Notamacropus eugenii: one gene and its partner. The main gene of each other region encodes a partner of the protein of the gene in region 2 in a complex. Links are inferred from orthologs where the notes say so. Each region holds a gene or a part of one and is shown on either strand. Other genes may lie near its edges.

Region 1 (7,871 bases), on a different chromosome or scaffold from region 2:
TATCCTGATTAGATTTTCACAATACTCAAATTGATTCTTTCTAGCTCCTTGCAGTATTTTCTCCTTGACCTGGGAACTCTCGAATTTGGCTACAATATTCCTAGGAGTTTCTCTTTTTGGATCTTGTTCAGCAGATGATCTGTGGATTCTTTCAATATTTATTTTGCACACTGGTTCTAAAATATCAGGGCAGTTTTCCTTGATAATTTCATGAAAGATGATGTCTAAGCTCTTATTTTTTATCATGGCTTTGAGGTAGTCCCATAATTTTTAAATTGTGTCTCTTCAACCTATTTTTGAGGTCACTTGTTTTTCCAATGAGACATTTCACATTATCTTCCATTTTTTCATTCTTTTGGTTTTGTTTTGTTATTTCTTGGTTTCTCATAAAGTCATTCTTTTCTTCAGTGAGCTTTTGAAACTCTTTCCATTTGGCTAATTCTGCTTTTTAGAGCACTTTCTCCTCATTGGCTTTTTGAACCTCTTTTGTCAATTGAGTTAGGCTATTTTTAAAGGTGTTATTTTCTTCAGCATTTTTTTTGGTTTCCTTTAGCAAGCTGTTGACTCACTTTTCATGACTTTCTTGCATTGCTCTCATTTCTTTTCCCATTTTTTCCTCCATCTCTCTAGCTTGATTTTCAAAATCCTTTTTGAGCTCTTCCATGGCCTAAGACCATTGCATATTTATTTTGGAGGTTTTGAATGCAGAAGCCTTGACTTTTATGTCTTCCCCTGATGGTAAACATTCTTCTTCCTCATCAGAAAGGATGGTAGAAAATACCTGTTCACCAAGAAAGTAACCTTCTATAGTCTTATTTTTTTCCCTTTTTTGGTCATTTTCCCAACCAGTTACCTGACTTTTTGGTCCTTTATCAAGAGTAGGGTATACTCTGGAGACCTGCAAGATTTCAGTTCCTCCAAGATGTCACAATTAAGTGAGAGGAATTTACTCCCTGGCCAGGCTCATGATTGAGATTCATATCAGCTGCTCAATTTCTCCAAGGGCTTTAGGTGTGGGGCAGGGCCACCACTCAGGGCTCAGGTTCATATCAGCTGCTCAGTTCCCTGGTGGGGGGAGGTTTAAGCTGAACTCTCCAACAATGGAACAATGGACACTGGCTGCTGCTACCTCTGCCACACCAAAGAGGTCAGTGTTGAGACTGTACTTCCATCTGAAACTTCAGATGGAAATATGAACTGGTATGAAGCACAAAGAGCAATCTTGGAAGAGCTCAGGAAGGATTTTAAAAGCCAAATTAGAGAAATAGAAGAAAAACTGACATGATTTTTTTTTTAAATATGAAAAAAGAAATCACAGAAGAATTTAAAAGGAATATTGGACAAAGGGAAAAGGAAGCACAAAAACCTAACTGGAGAAAATAATTCCTTAAAAGGAACAACTGGACAGATGAAAAAGGAGATGCAAAAATTAACTGAAGAAAACAATTTGATAAATAGTAGAATCAGGTAAGTAGAAACTAAAGACTCTATGAGACATCAAGAATGAGTCAAACAGAATTTAAAGAATGAAAAGATAGAAGAAAATGTAAAATATCTAATTGGAAAAACAACCAACCTGGGAAAATACATCCAGGAGAGAAAATCTAAGGATTATTGATCTACCAGAAAGTCATGATGAAAAAAGAGCCAAGACAATATCTTCCAAGTAATCATCAAGGAAAATTGTCCAGAAGTCCTAGATCCGAAGGGCAAAGTAGTCATTGAAAGAGTCCATTGTTCATCTCCTGCAAGGCATTCCAAACTAAAATCACCAAGGAATATCGTTGCAAAATTCCAGAACTATCAAGTGAAGGAGAAAATACTGCAGGCAGCCAGAAAGAAACCATTCAAATGTCAAGGACCTACAGTCAGGATCACACAGGACCTTACAGCTTCTACATTAAAAGATCAGAGTGATTGGAATATGATATTCCATAAGGCAAAGGAGCTGGGACTACAACCAAGGATCAATTACCTAGGAAATTTGAGCATAATATTTCAGGCAAGGAGATGGACATTCAATGAAATAAGGGATCTCCAGACCTTCCTGATGAAAAGGCCAGAGCTCAGTAGAAAATTCAAATGCAGGTCTCAAGAGAGGCATAAAAAAGTAAACAGGGGGAAAATGGGCAATATGGGTAAACTGTTTCCAAATCTATAAAGGAAGATGATGCTTGTTAATCTTGAGAGTTGTATACTTATTATGATATATAAAAGGAATATACATAGATAGAGAGAGTGGTATAAAGTAAATGATGTCATGATAAAAATGTGATTTAAGAGTGTGAAGGGATTGTAATGAGAGATGTGAAAAGGAGGAGTCATAAAAAGGTAAATTGGATCACAGGAAGAGGCACAAAAATATATTACAGTAGAAGGAAAGAGGGGAGGGAGATGAGCATTGTTTGAGAATCACTCTCATTTGATTAGATTCAAGGAGGGAACCATAAACTCAGTTAAGTATAGAAATACAACTAGCTCCATAGGCAATAGGAGGGGAAGCGGGAAAGAAAAGGAAGGGGAAACTAAAAGGGAGGGAAGAAGAAATAGGAGAAAAGGGAATTAAAATGGAGGGGAGTTCAAAGAAGGGGGGAAGATTGAGGGAGGCTGTGGTCAAAAATTAAAGTTTTATTGTGGAGGGGAAGGGAAAAGGACAATTAAAAATATAAACAGGGGAAAGGGGATGGAGGGAAAGACACAGATAGTAATCATAACTGTGAATGTGAATGGAATGAACCCTCCCAGAAAACAGAGATGGATAGTAGAATGGATTAAAAACCATAATCCAACAATAAGTTGTTTACAAGAAACATATTTGAAATGTGGGCATACACACAGGGTAAAGGTGAAAGGTTGGAACAGAATATATTGTGCTTCAGCTGATGTTAAAAAAGCAGGGGTAGCAATCTCAATCTCAGACAAAGGAAAAGCAGAAATAGATCTAATCAAAAAAGATAAAGAAGGAAACTATATCCTGCTAAAAGGCATCATAGACAACGAAGCAATTTCATTACTAAATATATATGCTCCAAGTAGTATAGCAACCAGATTCCTAGAGGACAAGTTAAGGGAGTTACAGGAAGAAATAGACAGCAAAACTATACTAGTGGGGGACTTCAACCTCCCCCTCTCTGAACTTGATAAATCTAACCTCAAAACAAACAAGAAAGAAGTTAAAGAGGTGAATAAAACTCTGGATAAGGTAGGTATGATAGATCTCTGGAGAAAATTGAAAAGGGATAGAAAGAACTATACCTTTTTCTCAGCTGTACATGGCACATATATAAAAATTGACCATGTACTAGGCCATAAAATCCTCACTATCCAGTGCAGAAAGGCAGTCAGTGCATCCTTCTTAGATCATAATGCAATAAAAATTATATATAATCAAAGGCCATGGAAATATAAAGCAAAAATTAATTGGAAACTGAACAATTCAATCCTAAAGAACAAGTGGGTTAAACAACAAATTATGGAAACAATCAATAAGTTCATTCAAGAGAATGACAATAATGAGACAACTCACCAAATCTTATAGGAAACTGAAAAATCAGTTCTTAGATGAAGCTTTATATCTTTGAATGCCTGCATGAATAAAATAGAGAAATAGGAGATCAGTGAATTGGACATGCAGCTGAAAAAGCTAGAAAAAAAAATTGAAATCCCCAGGTGAATACAAAATTAGAAATCCTGAAAACCAAAGGAGAATTTGAAGTTGAAATTGAGAATTGAATTGAAATTGAAATTAAGAAAACTACTGAACTAATAAATAAAACTAAGAGTTGGTTTTATGAAAAAAACAGTAAAATTGATAAAACTTTGGTCAATTGGATTAAAAAAAGAAAGAAGAAAACCAAATTATCAATATCAAAAATGAAAAGGGTGAACTAACCTCCAATGAGGAGGAAATTAAAACAATAATTAGAAATTACTTTCCCCAACTGTATGCCCACAAATTCGACAATCTAAATGAGATGGATGATTATTTTAAAAAATATAAACTGCCCAGATTAACAGAAGAGGAAGTTGAATACTTAAATAACCTCATCTCAGAAAAAGAAATTGAACAAACCATCAATGAACTCCTTGGGAAAAAATCTCCAGAGCCAGACAAATGAATTTACAAGTGAATTCTATCAAACATTTAAAGAACACTTAATTAAAATACTACATAGACTATTTGGGAAAATTGCATGTAGTTCTGATGCCTAAACCAGGAAGAGCCAAAACAAAGAAAGAAAATTATAGACCAATTTCTCTATTGAGTATAGATGCAAAAATTTTAAATAAGATGTTAGCAAAAAGGCTACAGCAACTTATGACTAGAATAATACATTTTTCTCAGGTAGGATTTCTACCAACAGTGCAGGACTGGTTCAATATTAGGAAAACTATTAGTATTATTGATCATATCAACAATAAAACTGACAGAAACCACATGATTATCTCAAGAGATGCAGAAAAAGCTTTTGCCAAAAACCAGTGTTTCCTATTGAAAACACGGGAAAGCGTAGTAATATATGAAACTTTCTAGAAAATAATATGCAGTGTCTACCTAAAATCATCAGCAAGCATTATGTGCAATGGGGATAAGCTAGATGCATTTCCAATAAGATCAGGGGTGAAACAAAGATGTCTTTTATTACCACTGTTATTAAATATGTTAGTAGAAATGCTAGCTGTAGCAATAAGAGAAGAAAAAATTTGAAGGAATTAGAATAGTCAAAGAAGAAACTAAGTTATTACTCTTTGCAGATGATGTGATGATATCCTTAGAGAATTCCAGAGAATGAAGTAAAAAACTACTTGAAATAATAAATAACTGACAAAGTTGCAGGTTACAAAATAAACCCAGATAAATCATCTGCATTTCTATATATTACTAACAAAGTCCAACAGCAAGAGATAGAAAGAAAAATCCTATTTAAAGCTATGGTAGACACTATAAAACATCTGGCAGTCTACCTGCCAAAACAAACCCAGGGACTATATGAACACAATTACAAAAGACTTTTCACAGAAATAAAATCAGATCTAAGTTAAGTGGAAAAATCTCAGTTGCTCATGGGTAGGCCGAGCTAATATAATAAAAATGACAATTCTACCTAAATTAATGTACTTATTCAGTGCCATACCAATCAAACTTACCAGATAATTACTTTCTACAGCTAGAAAAAATAGTATCAAAATTCATCTGGAAGAACAAAAGGTTCAGAAAAACAAGGGAACGAATGAAAAGAAATGGTAGGGAAGGTGCCCTAACCCTACCAGATCTCAAATTGTATTATAAAGGTATTGGTATTGGCTAAGAAATAGAGGGGTAGACCAGTGGAATAGTTAGGTACTCCAGACACAGTAGTCCATGAATATAGCAATCTACTGTTTGATAAACCCAAGGGCCTTAACTTCTGGGATAAGAACTCACTTTGACAAAAATTGCTGGGAGAACTGGATAACAGTGTGGCAGAAACTGGGCATAGACCCATGTCTGACACCGTACACAAGAATGATACATGATCTAGGTATAAACAAATTAGGGGAGGAGGGAATAATGTATTTGTCAGATTTATGGAGAATGGAGAAATTTATGACCAAACAAGAGATAGAGAACATTATGAAGTGCAAAATGGATAATTTTGATTACATTAAATTGAAATGTTTTTGCACAGAAGAACCCAATGCAACCAAGATTAGGAGGGAAGAAGAAAACTGGGAAAGAATTTTTGTGACTAATGTCTGTGATAAAGGCCTCTTTTCTATACTGTATAGAGAACTGAGTGAAATGTCCAAGAATACAAGTCGTTCCCCAATTGATAAATGGTCAAAAGATATGAACAGGCAGTTTTCAGAGGAAGAAATTAAATATATCTATAGTCATATGAAAAAATGCCCTAAATCACTATTGGTTAGAGAGATACAAATCAAAACAACTCTGAGATACCACATTACACCTATCAGATTGACTAATGTGACAAAAGAGGAAGATAATAAATGTTGGAGAAGATGTAGGAGAATTGGAACACTAATTCATTGTTGGTGGAGCTGTGAGCTGATCCAACCATTCTGGAGAGCAATTTGGAACTATGCCCAAAGGACTACAAGAATGTGCATACACTTTGACTCAGTAATATCACTTCTGGTACTCTCTTCTAAAGAGATCATAAAAATGGGAAAGGGTCCTATATGTACAAAAATGTTTATAGCAGCTCTCTGTGGTGGCCAAAAACTGGAAATCAAGGAGATGTCCATCAATTGGGAAATGGCTGAGTAAGTTGTTGTATATGAATATAATGGAATCCTGTTGTGCTATGAAAAATGAACAGGAAGAGAGGCCTGGAAAGACTTATATGAACTGATGCTAGGTTAAAGGAGCAGAACCAAGAGAACTTTGTACACAGGAACAACCACAGTGTGCGAGGAATTTTTCTGGTAGACTTAGTACTTCATTTCAATGCAAGGACTTAAAAAATTTCCAATGGTCTCGAGGCAAAATACTTTCCACATCCAGAGAAATAACTATGAAATTGGATTGCAGATAGAAGCAGACCATTTTCTTTTGTATTATGCTTTGTTTTGTTTTGTTTTATGGTTTCTCCCATTCATTTTAATTCTTCTATGCAGCATGTATTTAATAGAAATGCATATGTAAAACCTATATAAGATTGCATGCCCTCTCAGGGAGGGAATGAGGAGGGAGGAGGAAATGAGGAGAAGGGAGAGGAAAATATCTAAGATGTATGGAAGTGATTGTTGAACACTGAAAACAAATAAAATAATTTAATTTTTAAAAAAGGACACTCAAGAGCTTTGTTTCCAGAAGAGTCATGTTGAAATGTAAAGGAAGTGCCTTAGCATGCATGGATGTAACTGGTTCTAGTTAGCAAACCACTTGGTGAAGGAAGGCTCTCTAATTGGTTTTAAATGTCTTCAAAAAAAAGCCTCCTAAGCACCAGCCATGGACTCTTTTCCCTCAGTTATTTTGAAGGCATTTTGAGGAATCCTTTGCCGAAGGCGTCTGGTGAGACACCATGTGGTAAATGAGAAAATCTTAGGGCTTTTCCCTATCTGAAGCCATGGGGTCCCAATCTCTATCCTCAATCTTTTCTTTTGTTCTTTTCCATGCTGGGTAAAGTCTCATACTGTAGTGAGTTCAAAAGGTCATCATTAGGGCATAGCAACATTTTGTTGAAGCCAATACAGCATTAATCAAAGAGTGATCTTCTAGACCCAGGCCAATGGAAACTGAAATTAGGTTTTACCTGAAAATCATGCAGCATATAAAAGTGAACTTGATGGGATCAGTGCTATATAGGAAAGTAACTAAGTGTTGAGTTAACTCCCTTAGAAGTGAAAGTCATATAAGGGAGAGCATGCCCCTTCTTAAATATTTGGGGTGGGAGAAAATATTATTGGGTATATACATAATTTTTAATGAAATGTCCCTTTCTAAAAGCTTTTAAAAAGTTAATTATATTTTAATGATTAAGTTTCTTTCTAAGTAGTCTCTTTTATAATATAGGAACACATTTTGGGTCTCGCTATTGAACTTAAACAAAATATAAATGCAGTGGTTTTTCTGTATTATCCCTGGGGGTTTCATCAAAGATGGGTACACTTTCCTATTGATCTTAACAATCAACCTCCGGAAATTTATACTCCATGTTTACATTTGTCTTAGTCTTCAAACAGGAAACATTTAAACCACTTCTGAAGACATGAATATAAAGCTTTAAAAAAAAGTTGGGGTACTGTTTTCCCTAATACCACATAAAGAGACAGTGTGTTCCATTATATAAGGGAAAAACAGTGGGTGGGGGACAGAGTAGGGAATAAGACCAAAAGAGGAAATGAAAGAGAAACATGACAAAGGT
Region 2 (8,357 bases):
GCACCAACACGCTGGCTCTTTTGGCTCTTCCTTCCTTCCCTCCCTCCCTTGCTTCCTAGGGCCCTGCGGCACCACCCGGGTTGGGGTGGGGTTGGATTGCACCCTAGAACTTTTCCAACAAAGTGTGGGATTGGGAGGGGGAGGCGTCAGCACAGCACCCCTGTAGGCCTGCAGCAGAGTTCAGGTTTAGGAAGAGGAATTAACGTTCCCAGAGGACATGATAGTCTCCGGGTTGTCGCCGTCGTCCTTTTGCGGGTGGGAAGAATTATCTGATTTGCTGCGGCTGAACTCCATGCCGCCAATGATGGGTCGCTTGAACTTGGCCCCCGAGTCCCCGCTAGGGCACTTGCAGCAAGACATGATGCGCACGAATGCCCGCCGCATCTCCTTGTTGGTCAGCGTGTAAATGATGGGGTTGGTGGCCGAGTTGAGCACCGCCAACACCAAGAAATACTCAGCCTTGTAGAGGATTTTACACGTATTCACCTTGCAGCCCACGTCCAGAAGGAGCAAGATGAAAAGTGGAGACCAACAGGCAATGAAAGCGCTCAAGACGATGATGACCGTCTTGAGGAGCGCAAGTGATTTCTCGGAGCTCCTGCTGGCCTTAGAAATGTTCTTGCGGAAGGTCAGCCGACGGCTCCGAGTCCTGACCAGGGAATAGATCCGGCAGTAGAGGATGACGATGGAGAGGAGGAGCAGGGTGAAAACTGTGGTGCAGAAAAGGATATAGTGCTTGTGGTAGAGGGGCAGCACGGTGGAGCAGCTTTGTAAGTAGCCAATGCAGTTCCAACCCATGATGGGCAGCCCCCCCAGGATCAGCGAGATGACCCAGCAGGCGCTGATGAGCAGGAAGGAGCGGAAACTGTTGCTCCCGTTGTGTAGCTTCATCTTTAGCATGGTGATGTAGCGCTCGATGGCAATGGCCAGCAAGCTGAACACGGAGGCCGACAGGGCCACGAACATACTACCCTCCCGCAGGAACCACTGCGCTGGAGTGAGTTTGTAGGTGGTGGCCCCGGAGAGAAGGAGGTTGGCTGTATAGGCCACCCCGGCCAGCAGGTCCGACAGGGCTAAGTTTCCAATGAAATAGTACATGGGCCGGTGGAACTTCTTGGTTTTCCAGATGGTCAGGAGCACGAAAATGTTCTCCAGGATAATGAAGCAGCAGATGAGGATGAATAACACCGAAGTCACTTTGAGGCCGCTCTCCGCGCTGGAGTTCAGCTTTCCCGTGTAGTTGTAATGCTTGATGATGATGTCATAGTTGACATAGTCAGAGACCAAGCTGGGAATGGCCTTGACCGACGGCACACTGGTGGAGCCCATGATTCTGGGAGAAAGGCCTGCAGTAGCCCTATGCGTCGCCTCCCCAACTGGACGCTAGAGGGCAAAGTCGAGCAAGGCTTGTACCACCGGCTGGTACAGGGAGCGGTGGCCAGTCTTTTCTGTAGCCCTTCCCCTGCTGATGGGGCCTCGAAGACCTCGGCCCTAAACAAGGCACAAAGAGGAGAGAGTCAGGGGGGGAAAGAGGCACATTACGTTGGCATAATTCATTCGAGCTACAGTTGTGGCTCTATCTATGTTCAGAGAGAAGAGAAAGGGGGTAAAAACCTACAAGGAATCGAATGTCCAACTTTTGCAAAAAGAAAAGTCCTCAATTTTCTCCAAACCGAAAAAAATCCTGCATTTTCCTCCCTCCCTCCACCCCCACCCCCGCCAAAACTAGACAGAATGTATTAGGGAAGACTTTTTAAACTAAACTTGGAGATGCTTGTGGTGGATCATACTGCATTTCCAATTACTCCAGACCTCTCCTGAGTCCCTCCCTGGGTAAGCCCTTCCTCTCCCCCCCGACACACACTTTCAGCTGCTTCACTCGCCATCTCACTCAACTCCAATGCGGGCAATTAAACCTCAAGTTTAGAAACCGAGGGTTGGGGTGGGGAGGAGGGGAGGGGAGTACTGTCCCCTCCCCTTCCTAAAAAGGAGAAACGACTGCCGAATTGTTATGTATGAATTTCTCAAGAAAATCAGCTCATAAACTAAATCACTCTTTTCACTCTATTAATAGCATCCTCTAGAAGCAGGTGTGCAGTGAAGATCACCAGCGTGAGGCTCCAGTGAGGTGTGCGAAGCGAGGCCAACAGCAACCTAAGCGGTAAACAGGAAAGCTTAAAACTTAAAATGAAGCTCCCCCTCCCCCTTTTTGCGCAACCTTTGAAAGCAGCAGTAGGGCAGTACAAATAGACTTAAAGGAACTTAGTGAAACCCATTCATAACAAAGGGAATTCAGCAGACCTCAAAGTTTGAGATAACTAATAAATAGATTGCATAAGTTTTTTTAACATTTTTTTCTGGTTTAAAAAAACATGTTATAGTTAGAATGACAACGCAGGTCGTCAAGTTCTGATGTTCCACCGCAAAACGATTTTCAAGAAAGTCAAATAACTAAACGCTTTAACAGATTACAATGTATACCATAAATAATCTCCCACCACCACCTCTGTAAAAAAAAGAGGGTCCCCTCTTTCAATGAACCAGAAAGTGAGGAGGAAAAAGACCAAGGCGATATCACAAAACTAGAAAGTGAAATTCCTTAATATGCTAAAGGCAATGTAGCAGCAGTAGTAACTGGGTAACAAATGGACCCTTTAAGATTTAACGTAGTAACTATCTTGGATCAGCAGAGATTTCTCTGCACGCACTTCGTTGACACCCCTGTCCTCCCCAACGAATTCTGCAATGGGACGCCGTACAGAGCAAGTGGATATTCTTTTTAGCACTTTTTCTGCAAGCGTTGTCTATTGGGTTTTCAACAATGACCCTCTCCCCCTTTTCCTTCCTCTCGGCTGACCACCCGCGGACTTTTCCAGCCTTTCGTCCAATTTCGATTTGGCACCCCTTAAACTCTTGCAAATCACATCTATAAACGCCTCCAAAACTTGAGGCAGGTAAGAGAGTCAGCAGGGTCAGCCTGTCTGATTTGCGTTCCTAGGGGAGATAATCGCTCACATATGGAGTTTTCGATATTAATAATAACTACGATAATGCATGCGTGCACATTTTAAAACTTCATATCCAAAGCCAAAGTTTGCTTTCCACAGTTTGCGATCAAAGCCCATTCAAGACCTGGGCTCCCTCCCGTCTTCCCCTAGTCCACGTTGCTCCTCGGAGCTCTTACCTCGCTCAGGCAGGACAAAGTTCGTTTTTAAATGCTTCTGGTCGGCAGGAGCTCGTGCTTGGCATCTTGCTGCCCCAGAATGAATTCAAGCCTCGCTACCAAACTTCCTTTACCAAGGGGTCCCCCCCCTCCTTCTCCTCGCTCTCCAGCTAAGCGCGTTCTGGCCAGTCCGGGAGGTGCAGGCAGGAGATAGAGCCCAATCCAGAGAGCTCAACTAACTGTACTGGTAGTCTCACTGGCGTGTATGTGTTTTCTTCTGCTGCTGGTTTAGGGAGGGACTGGGAGGGGTTAACGTATCTAATCTTTCACCCCCTCCTCAGGCAGCTGGGGCTCCTCTGGATCTGAATAGTCACTCCGGACTCTCCAGGAAAGGAGCTGGGTGGATGGGAGGGGAAACCGAGAGGAGGGGGACGCAAACCACCAACCAGACCTAGCTCAGTAGGAGGAGCCTGGGGGCCCCCTTGTAGCTATAATGTATAAATCACGGTCCTTTAGCTGCCAAGACGCTGCTCCCGGGCGGTGGAGCTTATTCATCCCCGCTACTCTTTTGAAAAGAGAGTGGGGGAGGGAGAAGTCTGAGAGCTTTGGAAAACTTCTCTTTTTTCTATGTGTTTGGATGCCTAACACTGGCTTGTCCTAAGCAAACCCCTAGACTGCTTCCTTCCAGCCTCCTCCCAGCTCCCCTCCACATTCTCACTCTCTCCCAGAAGTCATTTCCACGCAACCTTCTCTCCTCTCCTCTCCTCTTCTGTCCTCTCCTCTCCTCTCCTCTTCTGTCCTCTCCTCTCCTCTCCTCTCCTCTGCTTCTTCTCCTCCCTTCCCCATACCCGCCCCCAAGAGACTATTAACCAAGGTCCGGTTTCTGGGTCCCTGGGGAGTAACCACAGGGTATAGGAAGGGAAGCCCTGGGAATCAGAGAGAAGCTTCTAAGAAGCCAGGGCCCGCGCTTGGGAGAAAAGTGGGGAGGGTCTGGGAGAGAGGGGGATGTCAAAGTGGTCTTTGGTTCAGGCAAGCTGGATAGGCAGGACCCGAAGAATGTCCCTCATCTCCCTTTCTCTTTTCGCCACATTCACCACCAGTTCTCTTTTGAGGCTGGATAGAGTGAGCATCTTGGGGAGGGGAGGAGGGGCAGAGATTGTGGGCAGAGGGAAAAAAAAAATTGGCTCTTGTTGAGTGGAATGCCATAGCATCGCGTCACAAGAGAAATGGGAAATGAGAGGAAAGAGGGATAGCTCGGGATGATGGGAAGAACGGAGGGGGATGGAAGGGGGTATTTCCATGTCTGTCTAAAGTGGGATAAAGGTCAAGATCAGAGAAAGTGGGTTGTAGAGGCAAGAGTCTTGGACAGGTCAACAAATCCCTTTACCTCTCTGGCCCTCAATGTCCTTATCTATAAAATGAGAAGATTGGGCTAAATTTGGTCTCTCATCCAGGTCTCATATTCTTGTCATCCTGTTTTCTCCTCTCCCCTTCCCATGTCATTCGCCTTTTCTGTCTCTGTGTCTATTTCTTTTATCTCTGTCTCTCCCTCTCCTTCTCTGACTCAATCTCTATTTCTGTCTCTGCAGGTCTCTCCCTTTGTCTGTAGGTCTCTCTTCCTCTTCTTTCTCCCTCCCTCTCCTGTACCCTTTTGGATTGGACAGTGGATGGATTACAATCAATGTATTTAAATAAAAAGAATTACAGGAGTTTGGGGGCGGAGTCAATGCCTAGAAACTCCAAAGAAAGGAAAACTCAGGCTTACTCTCCAGCCAGGGGCCCTCTCAATCCCCCAAACAGCAGGAAGATCGTCTCTTCTTTCATCACTCTACCTGGTAAGAAAGTCAAAGCTGAAGAGGAACAGACTCACCCCCTCTCTCCACTTTAACCTTCTAAGAACATGGGCAGAGTCCAGATAAAACATATGTAGGTAGCAAAAACATTATACCTCTATTCAGCTGATAAACAGCTACTAGCCATATTTACTTTCCTTAAGATCCTGTGATCCTATGTACTAGCTCTTTAGTAGATGTGAAGAAACATATCTTCCCCTGCTGTCTAGTTTCTATTGGCGTACACACCCTCTACCTGAATGAGTCAGAAGAAGGTTAGAAGAAGAAAACATCAGACCCCTAGCTTCTAGAATGTTATGAGTTTGCAGGAAAAAATGAAAAGTTTCTCGTTTTAAAGTAACGGTTAGTTCACATCTGTCACAGAGTTCCCTTTAATGACAAACTTTTACAATGCACAAAACCATACATAAACATCACAAACTCAAACACTAACTTTAAAAACAGGGGAAACAGAGTTCTCAGATGTGTCTCGAGTTGCATTTGAGAGCTTTGTTAATTTCAAAGGAGAGATGGATGGTAATTTAGCAATTATCTGTTAGTATAATTATAGACACATTGGACGGGTGCACACAGACAAATTGCATCATCTCTTGTCTGGATGGGTACAATAGTTTATTTTCCCCATAGCTGGTTACTGCTTACTCCAGCCTATCCTTACGATGCTACCAATGTTTTTTATAGGTTATGATTTCATTGGGATATGGGCATCCTACTACCAACATAGTTCCCCATGTGCTATGTAGTTTAAAGTCTTGAAGAGTTAGTTTTCTTGAATACCAAGAAGGTAAGTGACTTGTCCAGTATCACTCAGCCAGTCTGCATCAAAAGTGAGACCTGAATTCAGGTCTTTCTGACTCAGAGGCTAGTTCTCCATCCACTATGCCACACTGCCTCACATACTGCCAGTTTAACCTTCCTAAAACACTTCTTTGTATATATCCAAAGTTTCCAGGAGCTCCCTATTGCTTTAGTAAGGATTCTTGACCTGGGATCAGCAAATATCACAGATAGATCTCAAGAGTTCATTAACTTGGATGAAGAAAAAGTATGTCTTTATTTTCACTAACTTTTGACTTCCTTTGAAATCTAATATATGTTATTTGATGCATTTAAAAATATTATTCTGAGAAGAGATCCATAGGCTTCACTAGACTGTCAAAAGGGTCCAGGAAAGGTTAAGATCCCCTAGCCTTAAATAGGCTAAAACTCAAATTCCTTAACCTGATATTAAAGGCCCTCCACAATCTAGCATCAAACTCCTTTTCTAGACTTCTGTGTTATGGACCTCTTCGGGAATCAGGGGAAACCTATGGGATCTTTTTCAGAATAATATTTGTAAATGCATAAAATAAAATCCATAGGATCACAAAGGAAACCAAAGGTTAAAGAAAATGAATATGTGTTTTTATGTCATTCTAGTTCATCTTCCCCCTGAAAACTATTCATAGAAGGAGTCCATGGACCCCAGGTTTACCTTTAAGCTCCAGCTAAGCTGCTAACCTTTCCCTACTTGTGTCCCAAGGTCTTTTCTCAGGCTATTTTCCTAAATCTGATGCATCCTCTCTCCTCATCTAATCTGTCAAAATCCTGCCAATTCTTTAAGTCTCAGCACAAATGTCACCTCTTCCATGAAGCCATCCTTGATTTTTCCAGTTGATAATGATCTTTTTTGAGATAGATCTGCTATAGTATTTTTCTCTTCTCCAATGCTTTTATCATATAAATTTTTGCATTATAGTTCCACAATTCAATTTAATTCAACAAACACTTATTAATGGAAAAGGCACCTGGCTAATTTGGAAGAATATTTAAAATAAAACAAATATTTCTCTGAAGTCTTTCCCAGACTTTACCACTTAGAAAAATGTATGAAGAGTCAAGAAAAAAAAGCACAAGTTTTGAGAATGTGGATTAAGGGGCAATAACCAATTTAAAGGGGAGGGGGAGGGTTGGCACATGTGCAGAGCACCTGGGACAGCATCTTTCCATATGGAGAGCTAAGGAGTATGCTTTTGGGAAAATCTTGATGATATACAGGAAATGCCTTCTGGAGACAATGGAGCATGAGTGGACTTACGTAACTGTTTCTGGTTAGCTAACCACATACTGTAGAATAGACTGGCTTTGGAGGTATTCAAAAAGGCCTCTCAGAGTTGGCTACTTCCCCTTTAGTCTTCTTCACTTTTGGTCTCTTTTGATGAATCCTTCACTCACTGAATCTGGTGAAAGACCATTGTTGTCAAGGGAAAGGCTTTAGGGTCTTCTTCCAGTCTAAGGTGGTATGGTCTCATGACATGACCCTTAGCTTCTAATTTTAACTAAAGGTCGAAATCAGAGAAAGTGGGATGTAGTCATTAGTCCTTAGCCTCTACTTTTGTTTTCATTTTTTGTTTTGTTTTGTTTTCCTTTTTAAGCAAGGGAAATTGGTGTTTTCAATCCTAGGAGTTTTGAAAGTTAGGAGAGCCAAAGGAATCTGGGAAACAGGTCTAGGATAGGTTTTTCAGCCACAAATAAGGAACAACCTTTAGAAATGACTTTCAGTACCCCAGCCCACCAGTAATTTAGACAAGGAACCATTCAGCAGAGATGCTGTTTTTGTGTGTGAACTTAATGGGACTAATGTTGTATAGGAACTGAGCTAAGCTTTAAGCTTATTCTCCTAGGGACAGAGGAGGTGTTGGGGGAAGAGTGGCATATTTGTATGTTCTTGCTATGCCTTTGAATTAAATAGTTCTCTATCAAAACTAGTTAATGTCATTTATTTAACCCAGACTTGTCTGGATTACACAGTAAAAGAGGAAGGTCTTCCTTCCCCACTCCCTCTTTTACCTCTGCTTCAAGAAATGGGCTTGGAGGTATTTGTTTCTATTCTGTGCTATTTGTCCTCCTAAGTTGCAGGTTCTGGAGGTGATTCCCATAGGACCTACAAAGAACTTGAGCCAACCTTGGAGCCAGGATTGAGTCAGGGTAGTACAGCTGGCCCTCCCGGTATGGAAGCTTTGAAAAGCCTCTGATACAAGCCCAAGAGGGCTTTTGGATTTATAACTGGGACTGTGCTATAGGAATGGAGCTTAACTGTGAAACTAATCCCTTTCCCCTAAGGCTGATGTGCTACAAAGTGGAGAGGAGTGGGAAAAGGAATATGCCTCCCTTGTGTTGAAGAGTAAGTTTGTATGTTTGTGATTATACCTCCTGAAGTAAATATTTCTGTGTAAAGGCTAATCTAACTTTTAATGGCTAAATGTAATTGCAGCACAAGGGGACAAGCCCCTATATTTGGGGGACACCACCAGTATGAGCTGGAGTCATTTGATACCCACTCCAAATTCCCTGAAGGGTAT

The links.
Region 1: the proteins of S1PR1 (region 2) and early activation antigen CD69-like are in contact, whole or in part, in a cryo-EM structure (PDB 8G94), measured with the Homo sapiens proteins. The link is inferred for Notamacropus eugenii from reciprocal best matches to the Homo sapiens genes S1PR1 and CD69. Residues at the interface, in NP_001307659.1 of Homo sapiens: Asn157, Leu160, Phe161, Ile164, Ser165, Trp168, Val169, Leu172, Ile173, Gly176, Ile179, Met180, Gly181; in NP_001772.1 of Homo sapiens: Val41, Ala44, Val45, Val48, Val49, Thr52, Ile53, Ile56, Ile59, Ala60, Val63.

Annotation. Positions count from the first base shown.
Region 1 is NC_092874.1:200,192,956-200,200,826, reverse strand, and holds the start of early activation antigen CD69-like, read right to left. Parts: upstream 3,582-7,871; 5' UTR 3,527-3,581; intron 1-3,526. UniProt on the Homo sapiens protein: Transmembrane protein expressed mainly on T-cells resident in mucosa that plays an essential role in immune cell homeostasis.
Region 2 is NC_092873.1:277,722,534-277,730,890, reverse strand, and holds the start of S1PR1 (sphingosine 1-phosphate receptor 1), read right to left. Parts: upstream 3,565-8,357; 5' UTR 3,185-3,564; intron 3,155-3,184; exon of another isoform or gene 1,865-3,154; intron 1,492-1,864; 5' UTR 1,330-1,491; coding exon 187-1,329; 3' UTR 1-186.